Tamandua tetradactyla: one gene and its partners. The protein of the gene in region 2 binds, or shares a complex with, the protein of the main gene of each other region. Links are inferred from orthologs where the notes say so. Each region holds a gene or a part of one and is shown on either strand. Other genes may lie near its edges.

The links.
Region 1: AHI1 (region 2) and MKS1 share a complex: the UniProt entries of both Homo sapiens proteins name them as parts of the tectonic-like complex. The link is inferred for Tamandua tetradactyla from reciprocal best matches to the Homo sapiens genes AHI1 and MKS1.
Region 3: AHI1 (region 2) and CC2D2A share a complex: the UniProt entries of both Homo sapiens proteins name them as parts of the tectonic-like complex. The link is inferred for Tamandua tetradactyla from reciprocal best matches to the Homo sapiens genes AHI1 and CC2D2A.

What each region holds. Positions count from the first base shown.
Region 1 is NC_135332.1:39,209,179-39,216,415, forward strand, and holds the start of MKS1 (tectonic-like complex member MKS1), read right to left. Parts: upstream 3,005-7,237; 5' UTR 2,961-3,004; coding exon 2,881-2,960; intron 2,513-2,880; coding exon 2,403-2,512; intron 1,376-2,402; coding exon 1,305-1,375; intron 493-1,304; coding exon 337-492; intron 1-336. UniProt on the Homo sapiens protein: Component of the tectonic-like complex, a complex localized at the transition zone of primary cilia and acting as a barrier that prevents diffusion of transmembrane proteins between the cilia and plasma membranes.
Region 2 is NC_135351.1:35,788,044-35,795,758, forward strand, and holds the start of AHI1 (jouberin), read right to left. Parts: upstream 3,018-7,715; 5' UTR 2,671-3,017; intron 2,459-2,670; exon of another isoform or gene 2,299-2,458; intron 2,080-2,298; 5' UTR 2,030-2,079; intron 1-2,029. UniProt on the Homo sapiens protein: Involved in vesicle trafficking and required for ciliogenesis, formation of primary non-motile cilium, and recruitment of RAB8A to the basal body of primary cilium.
Region 3 is NC_135345.1:14,654,374-14,661,864, reverse strand, and holds the start of CC2D2A (coiled-coil and C2 domain-containing protein 2A), read right to left. Parts: upstream 3,005-7,491; 5' UTR 2,907-3,004; coding exon of another isoform or gene 2,894-2,906; intron 1-2,893. UniProt on the Homo sapiens protein: Component of the tectonic-like complex, a complex localized at the transition zone of primary cilia and acting as a barrier that prevents diffusion of transmembrane proteins between the cilia and plasma membranes.

The DNA of each region.
Region 1 (7,237 bases), on a different chromosome or scaffold from region 2:
TTCCAAACTCTACCTTCTCTGTCTCACCTCATGATGCATGGAAGAAGTTCAGTGACTGCTTCTCCCCCATTTGCAATGTGCAAGCCTATCACTACAGATGCTGATCCATGCCAGCTTTGCCAGGGCCACCAGCAGGCAGAGAAGGGAGCAGAAGACACACCATCTGCAGATTGTGCCCACTCAATCAAGTTTGGCTGCCAGCAGCACACAGCAGTTTCTGGGCTAGCTACTTGTTTCCCCATAACAGGCTTCTTATTAATACACAGAACTCACTGAGGCTAGTAAGTAAGGGAGGCAAAAGAGAAGGATGCGATGGGACCTTGGAAAGAAAAATACCTCTTCTAGGTTGGTGTATCTATCAGAATCAGTATAGGTAAAGATTCGTCGATTTTTCCTGCCGCCTGAATTCTCCAGCTGCAGTATCTCTTGACGGTACTGGTGATCCAAAGGGCTCTGGCAGGCTGCTTCATTTTGGTACAAATCTATCTCAAACTGAGGTCACCAAAAGAAAACAGAGTTTACTGAGAGTACTTCTAACTGTGGTTCTTATCACTTTCTAACTAAACCAGTTCTATAGAACAAATGCTATTTGACATGTTTTCATAACCAACTCTCACTCATCCAGGCTAACAGAGAGCAGGGTATTCAAAGAATGTTAAGAAGTAAGAAGAATAAGAGTAACAGTCTAATCCAACTTCCCTGTTATAGAGTGCACCTGGCCCAGAGGTGAAAAGTGCTTTACCCAAGATCATAAAACTGGCTAGTGGCAGTCAGGATTTGACGCAAGTCTACCTGAACTCAAAGCCAGGGCTATTTTTCACTATGTTCTATTGCCCCTGTACTACAAGGCAAAGTATAAATGGTTACAGTCTTTCTGGAAATCAGTTTAGTGATATGTATCAAGAATCTCCAAACTAATACTTTCATCTAGTTATGTTACTTCTAAGAATCTAATTTGAGAAAATAACCAGAGTAAAACAGGGTCTAATACAAAAATATTCACTGAAATAGTTTAAAATTAGTGACATGGGGTGGTAGAATGGTGGGTCAGTGGCAGAATTCTCGCCTGCCATGCCGGAGACCTGGGTTCATTTCCCAGTGCCTGCCCATGTTCAAAAATAAATAAATAAATAAATAAATAAATAAATAAATAAATAATAAATAAATAAATAATGACATGGGTCTAGGGCACCTTTATGGCAACAGCCCTCTCTTTCAAAGTTGGGGTTTTTTTTCCCTGCAGTCATCCAAGTGGAAATGGACCAAGTGGAGGAAGATTCAGTGGACAAGTCACACTGGCTTACCTGGCTAAACAGTTTCTCCTGCCAACCAATCACCACCTCCTCCTCTTCATCTTCATCCGGACGGTGTCCACCTTCAAAGATAACAGACCGAGTCAACTGCTGAAGCCAAACCAGGACCACTTCTTACTCCTCTGATGGTTATAATCAAAGTCCCTGCTCTTATGTCTGGCTCAAAAATAGCTGGAATTCGATGGTTTTTTTAGCACTGACTCTAGACAGAAACTAGAGAGGTTATGCATGGGCTCTGTTTAGTATGTGCAAAAGCCAGAATTAAAACCGAAGAAGTCTTAAATACTGTTCTAATTTGAGTTAAAGGTAGCCCTGCCTTCCAGGAATCATTTAATCTAACTCAGTATAAGGGGCTGAAATTTAGATAAAGGATGACAGCCCTTCCTTAATCTCAACTGTCTATATTTACTAAAAAGGAACACTGAAGCCATCTATGTAGAAGCATAAAATTTTTAAAAGACCCAAATCTAACCCACTCCTGGCTGAGCGTGCCTTTTTCAGAAACACATACTTCACACCCCTCCAGCCCATATGTTTTCTGGGAATATTTTTTAACAGAAACAGAAACATGATAAAACCAGAGAGACTAGTAACCTTACACAAGCACACTGTGCTTTCTTCCTCAACTCTTCTGGATTCCCAGACAAGGAAAAGCACAACAGCACTGTCGATGTTAACATGTGCATTCTTCAAGCAATCCTCAACTTTAAAATGGTCTAACAAAGCATTCACATCATTTAGAGTTCGGAACATATCTTCTCTTAGGGGAAAAATGGTATTAAAGTTGTCATTTCTTCAACATTTCTAAAGTATGGCTTTGTTATTTTACTACATTTGACCACAATTCAGATCAATGTCTCAATGGCAGGAATCATGGCTTATTCAATTTTCATACACAACCTAGTGTAGTAGTTAAAACTGCCTGGGCAAGGAACCCAACTTCTCTGTACTGCAGTTGCCTAGTCTGAAAAAGGTGATTTCTCTCACACTCACACATAAACCTGAGTGTGCTCCATCTTAAAAGTAACTCTACCACAACAGGTTCTTCCCCAGATTCCCAGGAGGCCACATCACCACCAAAACACTCACTGGCGCTCGGGTGGGGCCTAAAAGTTGCCAAGTCTATGAGGTCCTTCCCAGGCTGGGCAGCAGGCTGGTACTGGAAAAAGGTGCTTGATGTGATTCTTTGCAGGTGGACGCTGTCAGGAAAAGAGAGGCCCAAAACACGCGTTACAAGACACACAACCAGAACTGAACACAGCAAGGATAGTGGGGGGAAAAGCAGAGGGCAGGGCTGCTAAGGTGCTCTGGGTGCAGGCCACTAAGGGGAAGTCGGTAGGGCGCGGGTGCTGACGAATCTGGGTGGGGAAGGAACTTAAGAGGAGGTCTTTAAGCGGAGAGGCGTCCTGAGAGGCAGCGTGATGCTGGGAGGCCGAGGAGGGTGTGTGTGGTCGGGTTTGAAAACGGAAGTCGGGGAGTCAGAAAAGCGAGAAAAGAAGTCAGGCTCGAATTATTTGGGGGGCGGGAGAGGGGAGCACAGGACTCCATGCCAAGGCGGTGCGACTACCGGAGGCGCAAGTTGCGCACGGGGTCGCGGGAACGATACACGGCCTCCGCAGTGTCAGGACTCCAGACGGTCTCCGCCATGACCGCAGAGTAGCGCCGCGCCACGACAGCGCCGGAAAGCGCGCCGCCCAGGTTTCCCTAGTAACGAAGACGCTGGATTCGCGGGGACACCCAGGCGCTGCGTGCGCAATCCGCGCAATCCCGGTGCGGCCCCGCAGCCCGCCCGCCCGCCGGCCCGTGCAGTCCCGGCGCAGCCGAACGCCTAAGGCGGTCCACGGCAGCGTCTCACCTGGTCAGCGTATGAACAAAGCTCACTCATACCCAAGGCCGGACTTGATGCATTTACAAATAAAGAAACCGGCCCAACCATCAGCTCGTTTCATATAGATGAAGAATGGTGATAGGGACTCAGGTGGCCCACGCCCATTATCTCCATTCTGCCACACCGCCTTCCACTGAACGTTAAAACTTTGGCCTGAAAACTGATGAACGTGAATCAAAGAAAGCACCCACTCTTTCCAAAGGAGTCAGGGAAGATGATTGGCACTTACCCACAATCGAAACTATATCCTTGGAGAGGAAAATAAGGTGGTGTCCATTCATTAGTCGTTGCATTGGCATTCACTAAGCGAGAGAAAGAAAAAACAAGGAAGTCAACAGTAAGGAAGGGGGAAATGTTATTAGTGAACAGATTCTTCCCCTGTGTATGTTAGTTCTGGGTCATTAAGCCACCTTAGAAACTGCACTGGCGTCCTGAAAGACCAACAAAGTGCCATTCAGGAGACATGCTTCATTGAACTAGCATAGGCAGGACACACCATAACCTTGAGTCTAGCTCCCTGGCACCTTGGGGATATCAACATTTATTAGTCTTTGACATCTGGTACTCTCCCAACAGAGTAAGCAATTGTCTCCTCAACTCATATCTCATGCCATTTGATTATATGGCTCTGGGAATTCTGGGGCACCATAACCCCTGTTATGTACCTTGTATGCATTGTCCCAAATCCTCATAGAAACTCTTCAAGTAGGTATTCCCAATTAACAGATGAAGCCAATGAAGTCCAGGGAATTATAGGTCTTAGTAAGGTTGTACTACTAGTGAGTGGTAAAGGAGCTAGGATTCCAGGCCAAGTTTATCTTTTTCTGAAACCCGAACACCTTACACTGCACTTCAAAGGCTCTCACCGATCAGTTTGCTCCATGAGAGAGAGAACACAGTTTCCAGTCTGGTAAGTAATTATTTCAACAGATGAAACATGGAGGCAGAATACTAGTTCTTAAGAAACGTTCACTCTAAATTTTCCTTTCACAGTTGTGAATAAACAATTTAATGTTATAACCAAATTGAATGCACACAAAGTCAATCTGACATAGTTGTATGCAAAATAGTAAATATACTACATGGTATGGAAATTTAAGCTCTTTATATAAGGGACTAAAATTAGTATTATTCTTATACAGGTAAACTATATTTTTCATGCTTTTTTCTTTTTCACTGGTACATATGAATCAGGAATCCTTAAAATGAGGGTCTCTAAGTAGAGTTCAAGGAATCTGTGAACCCCTTTCTTAGAATTTAGTGAGGGACATTTTCTGGAAAGAGTTCATGATTTTTATCAGATTCTGGAAAGAATTTATACCCTGATATCAAGAATGGTCCTACTACATTCATATTCTAACATCTTGTTTCATATGAAAGGTTTGGACTATGCAGCATAAAGGCCAAAATTCCATGTTCCATCATCCATAAGCCTTCAACCCCACCCCACCTCTGTGGTTCAGAGTTGATATCCACTGTGTTCTCCCTGAAATAACATCAGCATCTGTATAAATTGCTTTGTCTAGAAAACACTTGCACATATACTATTTCATTTTATCTTTACAGACTTTATAGATATTCTTGTCTCCCTTTTATGTATTTGTAAACCAAGACATTAATTGAATTTCCCACAGTTGCCATGACAAGGGGGCGTAGAGTCTAGCTTACATCTTGGACTCAAACCTATGGGCTTTCCTTTGAACAGTGCTCCCTCCTTAAATCTACTCCCATCCCCAGCTCCTTCCCAAATTTTTATTTCCTAATCCAGGCCCATCTGAGCCACATCAGAACATTTACTACCTGATTTCTACACTTAATATAACTATATGGTGAACACTACAATGTGGTATTGGCATAAAGGTAGACATAAAGACCAATGGAACAGAAGAGAAGCCCAGAATAAATAGATATATATGTGGTTAATTGATTTTGACAAAGGTCCCAAAGGATTTCAATGGAGAAGGGATAGTCTTTTCAACAAATAATCCTGGGATGATTTACCATCCAGACATCAGGGAAACATTCATACACACACACACACACACACACCACAAAAAGCAAAAATCCTCAGCCCCTAACCTTGAGCAATTTAATAAATTACAGCAAAATTGATCAGAGATGTAAAAGTAAGAGCTAAAACTGTACGGCATCTAGGGTGCACAGGTGGTTCAGTGATAGAATGCTCGCCTTCCATGAGGAAGACCCAGGTTCGATTCCCAGACCATGCACCCCCACTCCCAACAACAGCAAAAAAACCTGTAAAACATCTAGACAAAAACATAGGAGAAATTTTTTGAGACCCTGAGCTGGGTAAATACTTCTTAGAACTCAGAAAGGACAAACTATGAAAGAAAAGATTAATAAATTGATCTTCATCAAAATGAAAAACTTCTGTTCTTTGAAAGACACTGTTAAGACAATGAAAATACAAGAAACAGACTGGGAAAAATATTCGCAAAACACATGCATATCTGATAAAGGACTTATATCCAGAATACATAAAGTCCTCTTAAAACTCAGTAATAATAAGGCAAACAATCTTATTATTTAAGTGGCCAAAATACTTTAACAGATACTTCATCAGAGTAGACATATAAATGGCCAATAAGTCCTTGAAAAGGTGTTCAACATTATCAGTCATCAGGGAAGTGCAAATTAAAACCACAATGGAATACCATTACGCACCTATTAAATTGGCTAAAATTTAAAAGATGGACAATACAAAGTGCTGAAAAGGATGTGGAACAACTAGAACTCTCATACAGGGTTGATCAGAATGCAAAATAGTACAACCATTTTGGAAAACTGGACATTTCTTATAAAGCTAAACATTTGCCTACCATATGATCCCCAGCAATTCCGCTCTTAAGTATTTACTCTAAAGAAGTGACAACATATGTTCACACAAAGACCTGTATGTAAACTTTATTCATCAATATTTATTTTATTCATCAAATAAATTTATCTACAATAATTTGTAAATATTGAAACAAATTGTACAATATTTATTTAATGGAATATACTCAACCTTAGAGACGAAAGAACTACTGACACATAAAGCAATATGCTAAGTGAAAGAAGCCAGATACAAAAGGCTATATATACTATATGATTTCTTTTATATGACATTCTAGAAAAGGACAAACTATAGAGATGGAGAACAGATCATTGGTTTGGAGATAGGGGTTGACTGTAAAGGAGCAGCTAACACTCTCAGCAGCTGGTAAAGAGGACCTGGGAATGAGACCAAAAGCATCTGCTACAAGTAACGCTCTGGGGAGGTGATCCAGGAAATGCTGGTTTGAGAAGGGGGAAGAAAGGAGGTAAGGAAACAAAGCCTAAAGTAGGCATTATCAATCAAGTTCCACTGAAGACACCCAGAGCTTCATCCCTTTGGGGAACTCTGGCAAATGGTGTAGAATAGGGATTCTCAAAGTGTATTCGTGGGTGAGGAGACATGGGCAGGGCACCAGCGGCATCTACCACAAATGTTATTCATAAATTATTTTACCATAATACAGAAACATCGTGGACCATTGAAGGCTTTGATTTTATGATCACAATCTGCAAGTAATATCCTTTTTGGGGGGAGGGGAGGGAGTGTAGGGTCCAGGAATGCAGGCAATATTCTTTTACATTCTATAGACTCCCTGTTCTATTCCCACCTTGGACTACAGTAAAGACAGAAAAAACTCAGGCCAACTTAGTGCACCAAGAGAGCGAGCATTGAGCATCCCACCATTTCCCAATCCCACTTACAGGCAGTGTGTCAACAAGTAGAACAGGTGGGACCACTATTATCACACGAACGTTACCGGAATCAGTAGGAGACCAAAATAGGTCAGCAATACCCAGAAGCTGAGCCTCTGAAGCAGTTTGCTTGTAAATCCCAGCCAGATCTCAAATGCCTTTTCCTAAGAAACATACTAAGCTTTTGATAATTAATTGCTTTTATCTTAGTCAGCTCCATTCTTCCCTACAGGTCCCAACAGGTTAGCCCATGTCTCCAGGGACATGTCCTGACATGGAGCAATAG
Region 2 (7,715 bases):
CCAATTATCCACTGAACAAAATGTGAAATCCAAGGCCATTTAAGGAAAGACCTCTGGTGTTTCTTTATACCCCTTTCTCCTGCCACACTTCCTACATTCTGCGCTCCAGGCACAGGAAACCACAGGCAGGCCCTCAAATATGTCAAATCCTGCCTCGACTTTGTCATTACAGACGTGCTCTTCTTCTTGAGAAATGCTCCTCCTCATCATCCATCTAACAAACTCCTAATTATCCTCTGACACTAAATGCAATGGTATGTTCTCCGGGTAACATTCTAACATCACAAGATAGTTAACTTCTTCTCTAAGTTCTCATGATGCCTTGATCTTCATACCTCTACCTGAGACCTGAATTGTGACTCAGGTAAAATGTGTCTATACTTTTCTGTGACCTGCTAGCTTTTCAAGGGTTAGGCTGGTGCTCTTTACTTCTCTGTACAGCTATTAAAAAAAAAAATTGTTAATGGTCTGGAGTCAGAAAACAGAGAGACCCAGGCCTGAGTTCTTGTTTTGCCACTTATTGAGTGACTGGCCTTGAGCAAGCAACTTAACTTCACTAAGCCCTGGTTTCCTTGCCCGGGAGATTAAAATGACACTTACCTCATTGCAAGGAGTAAATTAAATACTGTAAAGCAAAGGGATGAGTACACTGGCTAGCAGCACACTGCAGGTACTCAAGAAATTACTTTATGCCCATTATATTAAAAACAAGCAAATAATTTCATAATAAGTAAAATACATAATTAAGTAAATTATATATTTATATCACTATTTACTATTATTAAATGGCATAATACACAGTGGAATTAATCAAGACTGATATTATTTAACGGTAATGCAACTATATTATAGAAATAATTGTCTCTAAATGTTACTTTATGTGTACTACAGAACTAATGACTAATATTTAATTAGTAACATTATCTGCAAAAATAAAGTCAGACGTAAAAAGACATCCCTAAACCTTATAGACAGCATTATCTTAAATCTGCTTCATCACAAACCTTTTTTAGAAAAGCGGTTTTGAGACATTAAGAAGTAAAAGTAACTGCATTGTTTCGTCTTAATTTAACTTTCCCTGTCCACCTGATTATTATTAGGCTAACCCCCACCCCCCATAACTTCCAGGAAGCCCCTTGCAAAACCAAACCTGCCCCAGCCCACATGGCAGTTGTATGAGTGTCCTTGCAACCCCCTCTGGCAGCTGTATTCCAGCCATGCTTCCCTTATCCAACCTCCGCCTTCAGGCAGTTACAGCCCCAGTAGCTACAATCTTACATTAGCTCGCTTATCCACCACCACCCCCTCCTGGAAGATAAAGCCGCAGCAGCTACAAGCTCGCAATAACTCCGTACTTAAGCTGCCAATTTCGTACAACCAAGCTAGACGGTGAAAATCCACCACCTCCCTAGCGCCTATATAACCTATACCCCTTCCCCTGCTCAAGGTTGTCACCATCATAAGCGTCAGCCCACCAGCGCACAGCCTCACAATAAAGCTCTTTTATCCAGTTTTAGTCTCTTCTCCCTACCAGCTGAGAAACCTACCAATTATCAGTTAATACGTGAATACAAAGCAAGGGAAGAAAAGGTAGAGAGGCTTGGAAAAATTTAGTCCTTAACCAAATTTTGTATCAAAGAAAAAAAAAACCCTGTATAAATAATTCAATCAATAAATCACCAACTCTCCATAAAGCACCAGTATTCTAAATATGTTTTTAAAACCCTTTTAGTATGAGTTTTTTGTAAATATTAAACATTTTCCCCAATGTCCACGTAACTTGCATTCCTCTTGCTGAAAGCTCAAGCGATAGCAGCAATCATTAATGCAACAGGTGAAAAACCTGTTATCATCTTTCTCAAAAAAGGTAAAGCCATATACCCGTCTGTGGATGTTTTCACTGTACTGTTGAGACGCAACACAAATATTTTGTAGCGATTCCTAGAGTATACGTGTCTATTTCTATATATTTCTAAACAATTCCATGAACATAATTGAACTTTCTTTTCAACTGTAACTCATGGATTACCTTTTCTCAGATGCGATTTCACAGGTTCAAGACTCAGCATCAGGCTGACGCTATTTAAAAAAGAAATAGAATACTCAGTGCGCATCTGATTTCAAGGCTTTGAAACCGGAATCCCGGACAGCAAAGGCCGAGCCGCGCAGCGAGCGCGGGGAAGCACGCAGGGCAGCCGGCAGGTCCCTCCTTCACCGACCCCGGCCTCCCCGCGGCCACCCCCGCCCATCCGGCTGCCCCGAAAGGTCCGCCGGGCCGAACGCCCGCAGCGTACTCACGCAGAGGAGGGCGCGGACAGCCCGTCCCTCCCGAGCCCACCCCCGGTGCTGCCAGGCGGCTCCCCGCGCCCAGTGGGCCCGGCCGGGCGGGAGTCAGCGGCGGCCGCAAGGGACCCGGACTCTGCCAGCGGCTGATGCTGCGGTGCGGGCCGCGCGCCGCCGCTGACGTCAGCACTGCCTACGCCGCCGTCCCCATGACAACCGGCTGGGCCCGCGAGCCCAGCCGGGACCGCAGCCTGCCCTCGACACCCCCTCGGGTCTGGGGCCTCGCCCGGAGGCGCTGCTGATCGGCGTCTGCGCAGACAGGACGCGCGCGCCCGCGAGCCTTCAGAAGGCCGCGGATTGCGGGCACGCGCCCCGTGGTGCCCTCACCTGAGGAACGCTCTGCCGGCCTCAGGGCGCCGCAAACGCCGGGAGAAAGACGCGGGAGGGGGAGCGGGGAGGCTGGGCCGGAGACCGCCGAGGACAAGGAGGACCATGAATGAGGCAAAAGCAGACTTGTCGCCCCCTCGCATTCGCTTCCCCGGAATGAAACACGCGTTTAGAGCGTCGAGAATGAAGAGTTGCACTACAGGAAAAAATCAGAGAAAAAAGTATCCACCATCCGTCTAGCCCTGAGCCATCCCATTTTGTGTTTCATGCAGAGGAAAACGTCGTCTTTTCCACAACGCCCCCTTCCCTGCTCCTCTTTCTGCCGCGGGCGCCATCTTTGGCTGAGTCACCCGGGCTGGAGACGAGTCGCGCCTCAACTCTTGCGTGAAGAGGCCGTTTTCCGCAGCCGTAGGCGGGCGCTGCAACCTATGGCATCTTTGTAGTGAGACAAGGTGGAGCATATTTGTGTGGAGGCCCGACTTTCCCTTCCCCTTGGCACCACCACATCTAACAAAGCGTATCTCACTTGTTCCAAACAGTGAGGCAGGAGAGAAGAAACACTGCCAATCCAACGTGTCCCAACGTGGGACTCTCCATCTTTCCCCTCAAAATCTGCTCCCTTCTGGGTTTTTTGCTTGATCAGGGCACCATCGTCTTCCCAGCGTGGTGCTGATGATTAGTGTTACCATCGCCAGTAATGGGACAAACCAGCGTGGTGTGCAACCTGCAGAGAGCACAGAGAACGCCCTCGAGGGATATTTCTGCCCCAAATGCACAACCTGAATCTAATCACGAGGAAATGTCAGACCGAATTTGCGGAAAATTGCACAGAAGTCTTCAAAAGTGTCAAGGTCGGAAAGAAACAGAACAATGAAAAAACGTTTCAGACTGCAGGGAGACGGGACAGCGTGATGGATCCTTTCCGGATCCTTTTCCTAAATTGAATCTTTTTTACGACAGAGGACATTATTGGAACATCTGTCAAATTTTGAATAGGGTCTGTGGATTAGATGCTTGTTTTTTTTAACCAGTTAAAATTCCTAATTTTGATAACTACACTCTAGTAATGAAGAAGCTATCCTTGTTTTTAGAAAGTATACAGAGAACTATTTAAAGGTCTGCAACCTCCGTTAAAAGCGTTCAGGAAAAATGTATATATAAATAATAGCAATAAATAAAAATATAAATTATATATATGGAGAGGGAGAGACAATGATATCAAGAATGTGTTAAATCAAAAATTGTGGAACTTGACAAAGGTGGAAGTTCTTTATATTATTCTTGCAAGTGTTTTGTAACTTTAAAATGATTTTTAAATATTGAAAAAAGATTGAGGTAAAGGTACTCAAGTTTCTGCTTCAGATAACTGGATGGGGGATGCTAATTAATTAAGAGTGGAAAATCAGGACAAAGGCAGATTTGGAGTAAAAGAAAGATGTTAGGAAAATCACAGACAGCTGTTAAGTGGAGGTCATCCCTCAGACCCTACCTACCCCTGCTGCCTTCTCTGGAGAAGTTACTCAAGCTAAGCAGCCATTCTCTACCCCGTTTTTTATTCTGTGCCCTTCCACAGTCTGGGGTAGATGTTCTTGCTAATGAAAAGGCCCTGCCAGACCTTAAACCTGGAAATCAGTAACAAGCAGCCCCAGATGCTTATCAGAACAGGAATCTCAGTGGCAGGGCCCCTTACCCCTCCGTGGATGCAAGCCAGGCTCAGACTTGATTTCTTTTCTCCAGTGCCAAGTGGGACTTGGAAGGTACCATGTATGAATCCCGGAGCAATTTTCATTCACCCCAGGCCCTGATGGGATTTCTTCCTCTGCTCCTTAGGACTATGTAAATGACAAGGCAATTTGCCCTTTCTGGATCTTTTATTCTGTATACTGCAGAGCTCATTTGCTGGAAGTTTCAGTTGTGCCCTGACCTGTGTTCCCACGGTGCACCAAAATAATAATTCGCTCCACAAAATACTGTCCTAGAAGAGTCAAGTAATTAAGAGGTGATCGTGGTCCAATAATAATTAAGCTGGCTCCCCAGCTATGAAAAAAATTAGGTATGTATGCAAATTGAAATGTTAAGGAATAAAGTAGATTCAGAATATTCAAAACATTTAATAAATAATACTCAATTTGTTTTATAAAAAATGTAATTGATTTTCACAATTTATAATCCTGATGCCAGAGAGTCCCAGGAACTCTCAGAAATTGAGACTTCACCCAAGAGCTGGCAACATGAGAGTTCTTAACTCAGTTGCAGGAAAGAATTCTAGGAGTTGTTAGTGTGTACAGCCAAAGAATCCAAAGACTAACTAGTGTTTATAGGTCAAAACTTAATTGCGTAGCAAAAGTACACACTCTTAAGGAAGATGAGTGTGGCATTCTCCAAAGGAGGAGAATCCCTCTGAGGTCAGGACTTGTAGGGGCCTTGCCCACTTCTTGTGTGTATATATATATATGGGGGGGAGGGTCTAGATAGGTGTGTAGGTACCTAAAGAAATTTTTTGTTTCAGGTTTTAGGGTCACTTCCTCCTCCCTCCTCCCCTGTCTAACCTGCCTCAACCCAGTACACATTTGCATTAACCAATCAAAACAGATGTTGGGGACCCCCTCCGGGCGGTGCAGCGCCGCAGCCGCGAGCTGAAGCAGCAGGTTGATACTTTGCTTTCTGAGATCCAGTTGACAGAAACTCTAGAAGCCAATAAAAGGCGAGATATTTACCAAAGATGTATCCAGTTGAAACATGCAATCGATGAAAATAAAAATGCTCTTCAAAAATTAAACAAAGCTGATGAACCTGCACCTGTGGGGAACTATCATCAGAAAAAAAATGAGGAGCATAACCTTTTGGATAAGCTCACCCACCAACTGCAGGAACTTGCTGTGGCCATAAATCGAGAAAACTTGACTGAAATTGGAGCACTTACTGAAAGAGAGGAAGATGACAATTCTGCTGAAGAAGACGAAGATGAAGAAAGTGAAGAAAATGATGGGGAGGAAGAAGAGGAGAAAGAGGAAATGAGTCCCAGCAACAGGCAGCAAGTCAAGAATATGTTGCTATTGGAGATTTTGCTGCTCAGCAAGTTGGGGATCTTACATTCCAGAAAGAGGAAGTTCTCCTTATAATTGAAAAGAAACCTGATGGTTGGTGGATAGCCAGGAATGCCGAAGGAAATGAAGGTCTCATTCCCAGAACCTACCTGGAGGACTGGCGTGTGTGTGGGCTGGCTCCCACACCAGGTGGACAGCGTGTCCTGTCTCGCGGGTGTTCTCAGCCCTGTGATGAAGAAGAAGGCCAGGAATCGAGTGACGAAGGCAGTGGAGAAGACGTGGAGGGGGCAGATGAGACAGCAGGTGGAGTGGAAGGTAAACAGAGAACTGATTCTCATTGGAGTGCTGTTCAAAAAGCTATCTCAGGGGAGGGCCGCGGTGGCTCAGCGGGCAAAGTGCTTGCCTGCTATGCCGGAGGACCTCGGTTCGATTCCCGGCCCCAGCCCATGTAACAAAAACGGAGAAACAGAATACAATAAAACAAGAAAATGTTTAAAAATGTTTCCCTTTCTTCCTTCCTTCCTTCTCTCTGTCTTTCCTTTAAAAAAAAAAAAAAAAAAAGCTATCTCAGAGCAGATAAGCACTGTTGATGCGCTGACCACACTGGGCGCCATCCCTGCGGGGTTCAGGCCATCCACGCTCTCCCGGCTCCTGGATGAAGGAACTCAATTTCGAGCAAGTTATTTCTTACAACCAGAGCTCACCGCTTCACAGCTGGCATTCAAGGACCTAGCGTGGGATGCTGACGCAGGCACCATTAGGTCAAGACCAAGCCGTGCCTCACTGATTCTGACCCTGTGGAGCTGTAAGATGGTCCCTCTCCCCGGAGCAAGCGTGCAGGTCCTCAGCAGGCAGGTGCGCCTCTGCCTCTTTGACGGCGAGAAGGTTCTGAGCAACATTCACACCGTCAGGGCCACGTGGCAGCCCAAGAAGCCCCGCTCCTGGACCTTCTCCCTGCAGGTTACTGGCATCTTGCCATGCTTGCTTGATGGAGATTGTTTTGTCAGGTCCAATTCTTCATCTCCAAATCTTGGAATACTGTTTGAACTTGGAATTTCTTATATTCGCAATTCAACTGGAGGAAGAGGAGAGTTGAGTTGTGGCTGGGTGTTTCTCAGACTTTAATGACAGTGGAGTTCCTATTCCAGCAAAAACTTACGAGCTCATCTTGAATGGCGGCACCCCTTATGAAAAAGGGGTTGAAGTAGACCCTTCAATATCCAGAAGAGCACATGGCAGTGTTTTCCACCAGATGATGACAATGAGAAGGCAGCCTCAACTCCTGGTAAAGCTGAGGTCTTTAAGCCAAAGGTCAAGAAACATATTAAGTCTCCTGCCAGAAACATTGATTGGGAGCATGTGCTGCAGCCACCTGTTGGTCTTCTACCATCAAGTCCTCGGAGACGTGCTCCTGAGAGGCAGGACCTCCTGTGCTGGCCACCTTTCCCAGGCTCCTGGAGCAGCCTGACCTCATGGACGCCCTCAGGAGTGCATGGGCTGAGAAAGAAAGCATGCTAAAAAGATCAGAGAAGAGAGACAGAGAGTTCCTGAAAGCCACGTTCCTCCTGGTCTACCACGACTGCGCGTACCCGCTGCTGCACTCCACACGGCTGCCCGCGCCCAGGTGGGCCGAGGAAGAGACGGAGGCGGCACGGTGGCGGGCCATCGCCAGCTTCCTGCAGCAGGAGCAGGGCAGTGACGGCGCCCTCCGGGCCCTGCTGTCGCCAGGAGCCCATCCTGCTTTCACCCTCTCAGAGCAGACCTACGACTTCTTAGGGGAGACCAGAAAGAACGCAGCCTGACCCTGGGTGGGCACGATGCGCCACTCCCACGGAACCTTCTGGAAACACAAGTAACTCACATTCGGATTCAGGTTTTCCTCTTTTTTTGGTACAGGACATATTTTGTCAGAAATATTATCCAATAATTTGAGTATGTTTTTAAACAAAGTTAATTTTTAAAAGAAATATGTACAGTTATCTCTAAATTTAAAGAGAA
Region 3 (7,491 bases), on a different chromosome or scaffold from region 2:
AAGTTGCTTTGATTTCAGCAGGCAGATTTGCAAAGCGCCCCCCTTTGTGTTCTCTCCAACCTTTCTAGACTGTAGTTTATATTTGGTCTTTGGCTTATGCAGATTTTGCTTGTTTGTGTTTGGTCTGTTTTTGCCAAGGACACTGGTGCAGAGTGGCCACTCCAAAGGGGCTGCTGCGATAAAAATAACGTTTCTCTCTTAGCCCCTTGTTAGGGGTTGAATTGCATCCACCCAAAATGACAGATTTGAGTTCTAACCCTTGGTTCTGTCAATGCGATCTTATCTGGAAATGGGGTGGCCCAAGATATTATCGGTTAAGATGAGGCCAAACTGGATTAGGATGGCCCTCATTCAATATGACTGGAATCTTTATAAGAAGAGGAGAATTGGACACAGAGACAAGGGGAGAATGTCATGGGACAGCAGAGGCAGTGAATGCCATTCGGGTTCCCTGCAAGCCAGTGCCAGAAGCCAGGACAGAACCTGGAACAAATCGTTTCCTACAATCTTAGAAGGAGCAGGACCTCCCAATATCTTGGCTTGGGACTTCTAGCTTCCATAACTGTGAGACTGTCCATGGCTGTTGTTTTAAGCTACCCAGTGTGTGGCATTTTGCTACGACAGCTCTAGGAAGCTAAGACCCCTACTCAGGTATTGATTCCTGACCGGAGGCTTTTCAGATCCTGGTTTATGGAGCTGGGACCTGCAACTTTTACTCACCACCTTCCCACCCCAAAGCCAGGCAGACTGCATGCTGCCCTTCTCCCCAGCAGTTCATTAGTTAACACTCTTCCTCCCTCCACCCGGCAGATGTTCGTCTCCCTCGGCCCCTCCGACATGAGAAGGCACCCATAGGTCAGGTTGGGCGTCCCATCAGTGTCCTTCCTGGGTCAACTGTGACCTGTCCTTTCCAGCGCCTCATCCAGGTTTCATTGCCAAGCCCCTGAGAGACTGTGCCTCCGATGAGTCAGCTGGCTTGGGGCTTCATCAGCAACCTTAATTGCCTTTTTGTTTTTGTCCTCTTTCAAGCCTTCTCTGGCCCAGAGGAGAGGCTTGGTCTGGGTCTGGCGTCCAGCATTGCCGCCAGCCTCCATGGAGCCCCAAAATGGGGAGTCGGGTGCCCCAGACCCCAGCAGTCACGTCATGCCACACGGCGCATTTCCCAGCCACACCCGTCCCCAGGGTGCACTCAGGCGCCATGCAACCGCTGGCCATCCCACCCCCCCTGGCTCCGGCTGCCTGCAATGAGGTCATGGGGTGGGGACCTGGAGGACCCCCCCTCCAAATATGGTGGGGGCTTCCCCAGCTGCCCAGGGGGACATCGAGAGGACCAGGAAGGCGGAGATGGAAATAATTTTGTCAGTCCAACCCGCTCCTCCCTCTCTTGATGTTCTCTGGGCTGGCACATTAGAAGTGGAGGGGAAAAGGAAGAAAGAGAAGACAGGGAAAGGAGGACAATAAATTGGCTGTTACAGGTCCCTCACTTCTTCCACTAACAGCTGTGGATGGAGAAAGGCAACTAAGTCCACCACCTTGCAAGGAAGAGACCAAGCTGTCTTCTTGCTTTTCTGTACTAACATCCTTCTTTGACCTTGACCCCTCCCCTTCCACTGAGACCAGAAAAGGCAGAGGAAGCTACAATAATCCACTTTATGCAACTAGAATTTGACACAGAAGGAAATATTATTCAAAAAGCCGAAAAACAGCTAGTATGGCAAGGAAGGCACAGCCCTTCACGGCCCTTCCTGTCCCTCACTATTCCGGGAGCAGCGTCCCCCATGCTGTACCCCACCATTTTCACCCATGTCCCGTTGGGCTGGTTTGCTCATGTTTCTATACAAGCAGGTTTTGCAGATTGAAGTCACCTGGGATGTCCCAAACCTCTGAAGCGTAACAGAACCCTCAGGGTTTTTTAATGGCTGGCTGTGAGTACATACGTATGTGTGCGAGGAAGAATGAATGTGGGTCTCTGACAAAATCTCAGCCTGCTAGAAGAATTTGCAGATCTCTGCGGGTATCTTTTTTTTGCACCTGGGATTCTGCCTCCGAAAGATGGAAATGCTGATAACAGGGACTTTCTCAGGGAAATAGGAACAGCTTATGCATTTATACACTTCTTCACCTAAAACCACAAGATACCTCTCGTATAACCGATGCGTAGAAATACAAGAAAACGTCACAGCCTCTCTGCTCCCTACCTGTTTATGAGGCACAATTGATAATGCAAAACCACCTTATTCAGAGAGCAACATTTTCGGCCAATTGCAACGCGAACTAACAAACATTCAGGTGAACGTCCCCCACTCCCCCTTCCCAGATATATAATGTCTATAATATCCTCCAGTGTAGTTACAATGGAAAAGTCAAATGATTTATTTAACATTCAAAACCACTATCTGCAAAGCAAGTTTATAAGAAGTGACAGTAACCGTGCTTAAGAGAATTTTTGGAATGATATTAAAATCTTCCATGGGAAAGATTTCCGAGTTGATGCAAAAATCATAGCTCCGAAAGGTGAATTACATATAGTGGAATAAGAAAACATAAAGACTCTGAACTTGACAATAAATTAGCCCATCAGCACACAGGCAAGTGTTGGGTTTATACGGGATAGAGATTTTGAGGAACTCCTGCCCCTATTTTCTAAGAGAAATGTCATTTTTTTCATATAGCTAAAAATATTTCACAAAAGTTCATGCATCAAGCAGAATAGAAAGTAGGAGAAATACTACTGCTGAGGCTTTTCAACTTCTGATTTATCATTTGTTGACATACTTTCTACAAGTTCCTCATTTCCTTACAAGAAGCTGTCTTAAGTTCTTCCAGTAAATGTATTTGACGAAGGCCAAACAGGAGGAAAAAAGAGAAAAATGTAGCGAAAATGGTAGCTTACCTTTTCTAGGCATTCCTGATGTCAAACTTTCCTCCAAAACATGAGGCTTTCTTGTTTTGGCTGTCCCATGAATTTAGAAACCATTAAAAAATTTAAAGCAAAAATATGTGTTTATTATTTGAAGCTGCTTCAAAACAATGCAAAAATAACTTGGTGAAAAATAAAGCACTCGTCTGAGCATGAGAATGCTTTTGAAGCTTGGAGCTCATGCTGTTGTACGAAGTTTTGCAACTGTCTTTCTCAGTTTAAACAACCTCCCACTCCTTCTCCCAGGCACTTGCCAACTTCTATAATTTAAAGCAACTGCGATCCTTCCCATAATACTCACATTTCAAAGAGCTTAATATATACACTAGTTAGGAATGAGTTAGGGTGGGTAACATTCTGCAAACCACAGACTTAGGCAAATCAAAAGCAAGGGTCTCAGGTATCTAAACGGTTCTTTTTCTCTCTTTTGTTCATTGCTCTTCTCACCATATGACATCAAGTTACTTTTACTTTTTAAGGTGAGGCCTTAAAATCAAACAGTATCATATGTATGCTATTGAAGTCAAGTTATCAAATCAAATGTGATTGTTATATATTTAGCATATTAAATTTTAACCCCATGGGTAACCAACCACGAGGAAAATATATAAAAAATATGCCCTAGACACAAGAAGGGACTTGATACCATACAATGTAAAAAATAATAATAATGAATATGAAACTAGGCATTAATGGAAAATGGAGGGACAAACAAAGTATTAGACTTACAAAGACAAAATAGTAAAATGACAGAGGAAAGACCTGCCTTATCATAGTGACTTTAAATATAAATGGATTAAACTCTCCATTCAAAAGGCAGAGATTGGCAGAATGGATAAGTGCCGGTTTGAAAAGACATAATTAAGTAAGAAAACAAAAACATTTAAAAATATATGCACCTAAGAGCAGAGCCTCAAAATATATGAAGTTAATTCTAACAGATTTGAAGGGAGAAATGTGGTTATAATAACCGGAAACATTAATACACTACTTTCAATAATGGAGAGAACATCTAGATAGGTTGTCAGTAAGGAAATACAAGACTTGAATGATACTCTAAACCAACTCTACTTAAGAGACATATGTAGAACACATCCAACAGCAGCAGGACACACAGTCTTCTTAAGTGCTCATGGATCATTCTCCAGGACCAACCTTATCTTAGAGAGCAAAACAAGTGTCAATAAATACAAAAAAATATTGAAATCATCATTGCATCATCTTTTACCACACAGTGAAATGAAGCTAGAAATCATAACAGAGGGGGAGAAATGGAAAATAAAAAAAACACGTGGAAATGTTTTGAGGCAAATGAAAATAAAATACTACATACCAAAACTTAGGGGATGCAGCAAAGGCAGTGCTGAGAGGGAAATTTATAGTTCTAAATGCTTCTATTAAAAAAGAAGGATGATTGCAAAGTAGAGGCCCAACTTCAAAACTGGAAGCACTAGGAAAAGAAGAGCAAACCCAAAGTGTGCTGAAGGAAGGAAATAATAAAGATTAGAGCAGAGACAAATGAAACAGAAAACTGAAAAAAACAGAATCATCAAAACCAAAAGTTGGTTCTTTGAAAAGATAAATAAAATTGACAAACCTTTAGGTAGAATGGTGAAGAAAAATAGAGAGTGGGCACAAATAACTAAAATCAGAAATGATAAAAGGAGACACTGTGACCAATCCCACTGAAATTAGGACTATAAGAGGATACTATGAACAACAATACCCTGACACGTTAGATAACCTAGATGAAATGACAAATTGCTGGAAAAACACAAAATACCTACTTTGACTCAAAAAGAAATAGGAGATCTCTGGATGGGCCACGGTGGCTCAGCAGGCAGAGTTCTTGTCTGCCATGCTGGAGACCTGGGTTTGATTTCCGGCGCTTGCCCATGTTAAAAAAAAAAATGAATAAATGAAAAGTAAAAAAAAAGAAATAGAAGATCTCGAATACTAATAACTAGTAAAGATATTGAATCAGTCATCAAAAACCTCTGAACAAACAAAAGCCCAGGACCGGAAGTCTTCACTGGTGAGTTTTACCAAACATTCCAAGGATAATTAACACCAATCCTTCTCAAACTCTTTTAAAAAATTGAAGAAGAGGAACACTTCCTAACTCATTCTGTGAGCTAACAATACCATCATGCCAAAGTCAGATAAAGACACCACAAAAAAAGAAAATTACAGACCAATATTTCTTATGAATATAGATGCAAAAATCCTTAATAAAATACTAGCAAACCAAATCCAACAGCACACTGTAAGAATTATACACCATGATCAAGTGAGGATTTATCCCTGGTATGTAAAAGTGGTTCAACATAAGAAAATCAATTAATGTAATACACCACATTCACAGACTGAAATTAAAAAAGCATGCAGTCATCTCAGGTGAGGCAGAAAAGGCATTTGACAAAATCCAGTACCACTTATTAACACAAATACTTTAGAAAACTAAGAATAGAAGGAAACATCCTCAACATGATAAAAGACATGTATGAAAAAACACTTTTAACATTCTACTCAATGGTGAAAGCCTGAAAGCTTTCCCTTCAAGATCAGGAAGAAGAAAATTTAAAACTTTTGCATTTCAAAGAACTTTATCATAAGTGTAAAATGACAACCTACATAATGGAAGAAAATATTTGCAAATGACGTATTTGATTAGGGTTTAATAGCTGGAATATATAAAGAAATCCTTCAATTCAACAACAAAGAGACCAAAAAAAAAACACAACAATTTAAAAATGGGCAGGGCGGGCCATGGTGGTTTAGCGGGCAATCTTTGCCTGCCATGCTGGGGATCTGGGTTTGATCCCCGGTGCCTGCCCATGCAAAAATAAAGGGCAAAAGATTCACATAGACGTTTCTTCAAAGAAGATATACAAATAGCCAGAAAGCATATTTAAAAATTCTCATCATCACTAGCCATCAGGAGAATGCAATCACAACTGCAATAAGATACCATTTCATATCCACTAAAATTGCTATTATTAAAAAAATGGAAAATAATAAGTGTTGGAGAGGCTATCGACCAAAGAACGAATAAGAAAAATTTGTTATATACATGTAATGGAATATTATTCAACCGTAAAAAAAAGAATGAAGTTCAGATAAAGCCTTGACGTAGATGAAACTTGAAGACGTGCTGAGTAATATAAGCAAGGCACAAAAGGACAACTATTGTATGATCTTATTGATATGAAATGACTAGAAAAAGGGAATTCATAGGGTCAGAATCTAGAATATACATGACTAGGAGTGGGGTGGGGGTAGGGAACAGGATGTTGTCTTAAAATGTACAGAATTTCTATCTGAGGTAATGAAATAGTTAAGGTAAGGGATGGTGTTCATGGTAGCAGAACATTGTGACTGTAATTAACAGCATTGAATCATGTATCTGAATATGATTAAAGGGAGGCATTTTAGGTTGTATATATGTTACTAGAATGAAGTTAAAAAAAAATCCCTGGAACTTGACAACACAGTGAACTAGAATTAAACCATGGGTAATAGTTAATAGGACAGTTAAAAATGTGTTTTCATCAATTGTAGCAAACATTCCACACTTACCCAGGTGTCATATGGGAACCCTGTATTTCATGCATGATTTTTCTGCAACTCACAACTTCTCTAATAAAAAACTACCCAAATGAAACAAAAAACCAAATAACGTTACTGTTCTGGAGACAAAGCAGTACACAGGAAAGTTTATGCCATAATTTATGGAACAAAAGTAGAGAAATTGTACTTCAACCTCACTTTTGCTAGCAGAATTATTTCCATGCACTCAATTTTCCTTAATGTGTCTGTTTGAACATTTAAAATTATTGTGCATTGTACATTCATAAAGGGGAAAATACTTAAAATGTTTTCGTTTACCTTGATCTTATTGAATCTTCACCCTGAGTGTGAATCATAAACCCTAGAAGGGATATTTATTCCTTTTAATAAATCTCTTGACCTTTAGTTTCACCAGTGTTACAAAATTTCCTATTTCTACTACCCTTCACAACTATCATTAAACTTATACACACACATACATGAGGAGTGAATTCAAATCAGAAACAAACTGTGTTCAACTGAAGATGGGGATTTTAAAAATATTTATAATATATCTCAAAACAGATCTTAGTGTGTGATATAGAGTAAGTGCTCAATAAACCTTTACTGAATAGACAAAGTATTGTGTATATTCAGAACAATAAACAGTTTTGACATTTTTGGTTTATATGTATATGTGTATATATATATTCCCCTTAGAGATGGTTAACATACCAAAGCTTATGCAGAAGAGTAAACTTAGGAGAATGTATACCTTTCCCAGAGTGGCTGGATTGTTTTGATATAATAATAATTTATCTTACAGGAATATAGAAACCATTAGTCAAATAAATAAACCTTTCAGGGAAAAATAGAAATGCTGACACAGGCACAATCTATTAAGTTTGCCCAGTGTGTAAACTTATGCAAACAATTTTCATGACAAATCCTCATTCATTATTCAAAAACTATAGATCATTTTACATTGTGGGTTTTTTTATTTTTTGAGTCTCCCAAAGTAA